2 linked regions of the Ovis aries genome follow. The protein of the gene in region 2 interacts with the protein of the main gene of each other region in a pairwise test. Links are inferred from orthologs where the notes say so. Each region holds a gene or a part of one and is shown on either strand. Other genes may lie near its edges.

Evidence for each region.
Region 1: the proteins of BANP (region 2) and MAP2K1 interact in binary tests that used the Homo sapiens proteins (3 or more experiments, as listed by UniProt). The two-hybrid records come from large-scale screens. The link is inferred for Ovis aries from reciprocal best matches to the Homo sapiens genes BANP and MAP2K1.

What each region holds. Positions count from the first base shown.
Region 1 is NC_056060.1:13,310,741-13,314,240, reverse strand, and holds part of MAP2K1 (dual specificity mitogen-activated protein kinase kinase 1), read right to left. Parts: intron 822-3,500; coding exon 697-821; intron 1-696. UniProt on the Homo sapiens protein: Dual specificity protein kinase which acts as an essential component of the MAP kinase signal transduction pathway.
Region 2 is NC_056067.1:12,929,245-12,933,354, reverse strand, and holds the start of BANP (protein BANP), read right to left. Parts: upstream 2,801-4,110; 5' UTR 2,133-2,800; intron 1-2,132. UniProt on the Homo sapiens protein: Controls V(D)J recombination during T-cell development by repressing T-cell receptor (TCR) beta enhancer function. Binds to scaffold/matrix attachment region beta (S/MARbeta), an ATC-rich DNA sequence located upstream of the TCR beta enhancer.

The DNA.
Region 1 (3,500 bases), on a different chromosome or scaffold from region 2:
TGGAAGCAGGTGGGAGGACTCGGGGACCTCAGGCTGTCGGCTGAACCAGATGCCAGGGGACCAGGAAGTTGTGCTGTGGTGGGAGAGGGGCAGATAACTGGGAGACATGCAGCAAGGCAGGAGAGAAGAGACTGCACAGGGAAAGACAATTCTGAAGAGACTCACAGGACAGGAGGCGGGGTCACTAGGTGCTGGAAGGACGGGGAGATGGGCAGAGAGGCTGAAAGCTGATGCTCAGATTTCTATCCTGGGAGACTAAGGAGACAGTGATGCCATTTACTGCTAATGGGAAAGGCGGGGCAATCTGGGGTGGGGGCATTTCTGGGCATGTCATTCTGAGGGTCTAAAGACAGCAGGCAGAGGTCCTGAGGGTGGCTGGAGCTCCATGTCTACAGAATGAAAGCCAAGCTCTGGAAACATCCAAGCGCCAGTTTGAGCTGAAGCTGTGATCCACTGTCTCTTCCAGTGAGTCAAGGTCCCAGTGCCCTGACTATGCTCCAAGGCCTGTGAAAGGCCGAGCCCATCTCCCCTGAGACTGATCTCCTCAGGGAGGGACCACACGGCGCATCCCTCATTTCTTTTTCCCCCATCCCCATCACCCAAGCACAAGGGTCTGGCTCCACATGGGAAGACACCCGCTTGGCTCCTATTCCTGATCAGACAAGAACCTCGAGAAATGGAACGAGCTGCTCATACCGACATGTAGGACCTGGTGCCCACGAAAGAGTTGGCCATGGAGTCGATGAGCTGCCCGCTGACCCCAAAGTCACAGAGCTTGATCTCCCCACGGCTGTTCACTAGGATGTTGGACGGCTTGACATCTGTAGGGGAAAGAAAACCGGAAGGTAGAGAACTGACAGGTAGGCTGGGAAGCGCTGCCCAGCCAGACTAGCCCTGACCGCGGACGCCCCCATCACGGAGCCAGCCCTTGGCTCACGGACACGGGACACCGCGGCCCCTGTTCCCCCGGCTCAGGGCTCGGGGAAGACCCGTCAGCAGAGGAGTGACAAGCTGCTACAGAAGCAAGACAGAGAGCCAGTGTTTTCCACTCAGAATCCAGTCTTGGCCAGATGACCCACAGGAAGGAGTCAGTTACCATGAGTAATCAAGGCTGAAAGGTCTGTTGCTTCAGCCGCCTCTGTTGGCAAGACACAGCGCCTATCACTGGATCACAGGGAGGAAGGAATAGGAAGGCCTGTATGCTTGCTGAGGCTACACACCAAAGACCAAAGGAGGGTGGGATGGAGGCGGGCACTGCTATTCTTGACCCGACAAGCACAGAAGATGGGGGTTTTAAAAGTGTGCGTGCCAGGGGATGGGAGCCAACTTCCGATTCTCTTTCACTGAAGTCACTTCTCTAAGAGCCTGCGTCTACCTGTTAGTTAAGGACAGTCTCTCGCTGTCGGGACCCGAGAACTAGGGAGGGCTTACAGCTGCTCCTCGGGGTCAGGACAGTGTCCCCAGCACCGGCCCCGTTCCCCTTCGCTGCACTCGAGCCAGCCCCACGGCCACCCTGGCGCCTACCACCAGTATTAGTCCGCTGGCCCTTCCCTTTGCCAAGAGGTAGATTTCTCAACATTTTCCTTTTACCATCTCCTCTGATTCAAACAACTGTCCCATGAAGCAGGAAGAGCAGAGGCTGGGACTTGGTAAAGGGGCCCCAGGCACCAGGTTTGTGGACAGACATTAGCAAACAAGGAGACCCACTCAAGAGCAGGCCAAACCCCAGAGCAAAATCACAAACCCTGACAGGGAATCTCTGACGGGCGTAATACAAACACAGGGCATCTGGAGAACCAGAGGCAAGAGTGAAACCCTCATAATCCCAACCTACCAGAGCTACTATTAAGATTTTATTATGCTCCCCTTCAATACCCACAAGAATGTGTTTATTTATTCTTACACAGATTCTAACATCCATAAGTATCTTTCCAAGGGTAAAAAAACAAACAAAAAAATCCCTCTCGCATATCCCAGGAAGTCCTCGCCTGCCCACCTCTACCTAGCCCCTCATCATCCCCAGCCAGGGTCAGGTCCTAACCACAGCCACGCCAGCTCCAGCCTCTCTCCACCCACCACCGGCTCCACCAGGGCAGGGACGCTGGCAGTTTGCCTCACTCCTTTAACTGCAGATACAGAACAATACCTGGCAGGACAATACAGGAAGTACTCCTCGATGTCTGTGAATGAATGGGGCTAAACTCACCGGGGACACACACACACTTCACACCGTGGGTACTGTCTTTCTAAGACCCGTGTCACAGAACACAGCAGCACAGAATTCAAGATCTTTCCAAACCCACTGGCACGCCCCCATGTCTCCCATATAGACACAGGTGTCAGAAGTAGCCTGAGAAGGCATCTGGCTCCTCCCCTTCATGGTGGAGATGAAAAGCCTAAGGCCCAAAGGGGTCCAGGGACTTGACTGAGGTCACACAGCAAAAACTGGATAAAGTGGGAACCAGAATTCAGACCTTGTGATGCCTGGACCTGTCTTCTCCCCACTCACCCTGCTCATACATCACTCATACCCTGAGTGACTGACCACAAAGCCCCAAGCGCCCTCACCTTCCAGTGTTCCCATGGCCTGTTCAGAAATGACCTATTAGGTCTTCTTATAAAAGCAAAAGAGCGGCACTAGCTACAGAGACAGGAGACCTGTATTCGCGTCCTGGCCCTGCCACATGTTCCACATGCAGCCTTGGGCGAGCCCTTGGCTTTTGTAGTCTGTGGTCTGCGGATCGGTAAAGTGGTGATAAGCACCACAGCTCTCGTAGCCTCACCAGATGGAGACCAGGATCCGCCGGATGAACTGTGGGCATTTAAAGAGCACACACGTGACAGGATCACAAAGAAGGATTCTTTCACGGTTGCACTCCAAGACCAGCAGCTCACGGCTCCAGACACCCGCTCCCTCACTTGCCCCTGCTGCTCAGACACCACTCCCCAGGCCACAGCCGCTGCTCGGGAGAGGCTGCACAGCCTCTGTGGCTCTCCTTGTATCTGATTTCTGTTCACGTGGCAAGCCAGCCTCCTTTTTTGCAAACTTATATAATGCCACTTTCCTCCCTCTCTGGCTGTCAGCTCCCGCTTCCCCCACTCGCCCCAGGAACACTGCCTGGGAGGCTGAAACACCCATGCAGATGCAGTGGGGATGGGGTGTTTCCCTGCTTGGACCACATTCACCCTGGAAGCCAAATGCACACACAGGGCCCCTCAAGGTGACCCTGAAGGCCTAACAAGAAGCTGTTTGGAGACATCCTAACTTCTTCCACTCCAGGACATGTGGCTGGAGCTGCCAGGATAGGACATGCTCCGCCCTGGCACCCCAGCAAAGTCGGGCTCTTTTCTGGGGACAGAAAAGAGGTCAGATAAGGCCTGAGAGGCTGTTTCCTCCCACTAGCAGCCTCCTGGATTTGCTTCCCACAGTCCCCACCCCTCCTTCCTCTGCTCCCGTCCCCAGCAGCTTCCTCTTCCAGCCGGTCTTACACAGTGACCTG
Region 2 (4,110 bases):
TCCAAACCAGGAGAGGGTGAGGGTTGTGCCTGCACATGGAAGTCAGGTCCCTGTACGAAGAGCTGTACAAGGGCCGTCCCTAGACCAAGTGGAGCAGCCCCCAGTCAAAGGCATCTTCCTTAAGCAGAGAGGCCCAGAGAAAATCTGCCTTCTGGCATTTGAGGTCCCAGCACAACAAAAAGTTCCCCAAAACCCAATAGGAAACCTGCACATTTTCAAAAGCAGTCCCACGGGGGAATTCCCTGGTGGTCCAGAGGTCAGGACACCATGCTTTCACTGCTATGGGCCCAGGTTCAATCCCTGGTTGAGGAACAAAAATTCCATAAGCCACCATGTGAGTGTGACCAAAAAATCAGCCCCCCAAACTCATGAGTTCTCTGCCTGCTTCCTCTGGCCTTAGACAACAATAATTCCAGTATTTGAAGAGTACTTGCCACACAAAGCAAGAAGCCCGTCTTTTTAAAAAGAGGAAAAGAACAGTGACACAACAGAACACAAGAAATCAGAGAACAAAAGGGAACCAAAAAAACCCTTACTAGTATCCCCAAAGTCAAGGAGAAAAATGCATTCATCAAACAATACATTATTATGAAAAAAGAACATTATAAATCCTTAGAAATTAAACTTTGATTGTGGAAATGAAAAATTTTTAAGTAGGACTGGAGGATAAATGTTTCTATCCCAGAAACAAGAATAAGATGACACAGGAAGAAGATAATGACAGAAGATTCAGAGGGTTAATCCAAGATGTCCATCATCAAACTAACAGAAACTCCTAAAACAGAAGAGTAAAAGCAGAGCTGGAGAAGGAAATAGCAACCCACTCCAGTATTCTTGCCTGGAGAGTCCCACGGACAGAGAAGCCTGGTAGGCTACAGTCCGTGGGGCCACAAGAGTCGGACAACTTAGCGACTAAACCACCACCAAAAGCAGAGCAGAAGACATTCTCAAATGACACAAGACTTTCAGATTCCAGAGCTGAAGGACAAGTCCCCAGAGTCAGAAAGCAGTCAGAGTAGGACTCTACACAGTTTTCGGGAATTCCGGAAATGTCTTAATACCAAAGAGGATCCTGAAGAGTTATCCAAAAGGAATAAGGCTACTTGGCAGTAGGTTCTCACTGAAATAAAGGAAGTCAAGATTAAAACACGAGACCTGAACAAACTCAGTTGTATATAGTAAAAAAAAAAATGTCAAGATGATACTGGTGCTGGTCTAAGGAGTAAACAATCCAGATTAGAAAAAGACCACCACAAGGCTGGGGAGAGGGGGATGGTAAGAGAGATTTAGTGCCATCCTTCAGAATCTAAAACAAGGTAAAGTGGGACTTCCCTAGCAGTCCAGTGGTTGAGACTCCATGCTTCCATTGCAGGGGGAACAGGTTCAATCCCCAGAGAACTAAGATCCCACATGCCTCGGGGAATAGTTAAAAAAATAATAAAAGGTAAAGAGTCAACAGGAACAAAAAGTGCAAAGAAAAAGAAAGGCCATCACAAACAACAGAAAAAAGCAAAAACCCGTATAACAGGGGAAATAGACTACCTAGCTGTGAATATCTGCTTAGTTATAAACAATCTGAACTGAACATAGTGATCAGGGGATAGAGGTGAGACGCGATATGAAAAAGTCAGTCATCCTATCTGTTAACAGCAAGTCAGGAATGTATAAAACCAGTAAAGTGCCAGCTTATTATTTATAGCAACGAAGAACTTCCTCATGAAACAGCAAAAATATAAAGTCTTGGAGGAGTGGAACTGGGAGGTGGGGTGGGGGCTGTTGTTTTATAGTCTTCCATTGACACTTTGCGGCATTACTTTATTAAAGTATCAAACGTGTGCAGTTTTTTCAGAACATGGACTTGGGACAGATCGCATTCAAACCTGGCCGTGTGACCCAGGGAAGCCCCTTCCCTCCGTGGGCCGCAGCCACCTCCCTGTCCCCCTGACCCGACCGCCGCGATGAGAAGCGCTGGAAACGCCGGCGGGACTGGCCGCAGCACTGGACCCACACACGGCATCAGCTTTCTCAAAATTGGAGCCGTGACAGGACCCGACGTCCCAGGAGGAAACGCTTATTTTAATCGCCAGACAAGGGGGGGCAAAGGAGCTTTAAACACACGGAGTTAACGTTACCGGCGGCTCGAAGATTCCGAGCACCGGGCAGGGGTCCCCAGGGCCGCTCCTCACTCGGGCCCGCCGCCCGCCCAGCGAGAACAGCCGCCTCCCGCACTTCCGCCCGCAGCCGCTGTCCCCGCGTCCGCGGCCGCCGGCCTCCCGGGGGGGAGCCGCCTAGCCGCCTGCCAGCCCGTGGCCTCACGACCCGGAGCGGCTACACCGCAGCAACAGCAGCGCGACCCCACCCCGCCCGCCCGCGGCCGGACGCTGCTCTTGCGGGCCTGGTCCCGGAAGGGAGGCCCGCTCCGCGACGGACCCCGCGCACCGCGACGGCGGGGGCGGCGGGCCGGGGGATGGGCGGCCGGAGCCAGGTGCGGGTGCGCTGAGGCGCGGCGGGCAGGCGGCTTGACAGGGCTGAGACGGGGGCGCACAGGACGGCGGGCCGTTGGGGCCGGTGGCCGTGTCGGGGGGGCGGGGGCGGCGGCGCGGGCGCCGCGGCCGGAGGAGGGCGCAGGGAGGAGGGAGGAGGGGAGATCTCGCTCTCGCTCTCGCCCCGCGGGAAGGGGGAGGTGGAGACGCGACCGGCTGCGGGAGCTGCAATTACCGTGTGGGCTGCGGAATTCTCGTGGTGTTTGTCGGGGAGATGCGATAATGGCGTCCGTCCTCGCGAGAGAAGCCGCCGCTCTGCGCAGGCGCCGCGAGTCCCTCCCCGCGGCCCTCCGCCCTGCACCATCTGCGCAGGCTCACCGGGAGGAGGAACGGGGACGGGGCAGGGCGCGAGGGCGGGGCCTGCTGCTCGGAATCTCCCGCCCGCGCTGGGCTGGCGCCGACGACCGCCGGGCATGCGCACGGGTCCTGCATCCTCGCCACAGATTGGCCTCCAAACTTCTTACTTCTCTGTCACGCGTTCAGGCTTCTCACTAGCCCCTGAAAAGTCGCGTTGGTGGACCGTTCGGGGAATTTGCATTTTCTTTGAGGCCTAATGAATAGGAATTAGCGCCATAGACGACTACATGTCCCGGAGGGCCCTGCGCAAGCCTCGAGCAGTGCATTCTGGGACTCGTGGTTCCTGCGTCTGCGCGAAGCCTGCTGGTACTTGTGGTCCCATCCCCCCCGACCCGTGCCAGCGCATGGAATGCTGGGACTTGTAGTTGAGGTGTGCAAGGCCGCTGCACCGGGCGCGGCTCTGGCCACTGCTGCAGCGGGGTTCCCCTGAGTAGCAGGCGAGCTCAGGGGTTCCCAGGTTCGTCACAGGTTCAAAGACACGCTCCTAGAAAAATATATATTAATTATATGTGATATATATTTTATGTGTAATTGATGTTATGTATTGTGATGTTTGTTATGTATCCTTAGAAAAGGCAGAGAGGAACCAGAGATCAAATTGCCAACATCTGTTGGATCATACAAAAAGCAAGAGAATTCCAGAAGAATATCTACTTCTCCTTCATTGTCTATGCTAAAACTTTTGACTGTGTGGATCACAACAAACTGGAAAATTCTTATTAAGTGACAGTGAAGTCCCTCAGTCGTGTCCGACTCTTTGCAACCCGTGGACTGTAGCCCACCAAGCTCCTCCGTCCATGGGATTCTCCAGGCAAGAATACTGGAGTGGGTTGCCATTTCCTTCTCCAGGGGATCTTCCCAACCCAGGGATGAAACCCAGCTCTCCCACATTGCCGGTAGACGCTTTAACCTCTGCACCACCAGGGAAGCCCTTAAATACAAGAATACAGTCTCTCAGAAAACCTCCTATAGAGACACAGAACTTCAGATCCAGGTACTAACATCAAAGATTTCAAGGGAGGAAAGGAAGCCAGGTTGAAAGAAGAAGGGGGAGGAGGCAGGAGAGGGGGGGACGAAAGGGGTGGCCTTACAGACATCTCCTGCCACCTACAGATGCCCAGGTATTATGGGACTTTTCCCTGGCCTCCAGAGAAGGGAGGACTGAAACTCGACCCTACCAGAAATCAGACCAGACCAGAACCAGAATTCG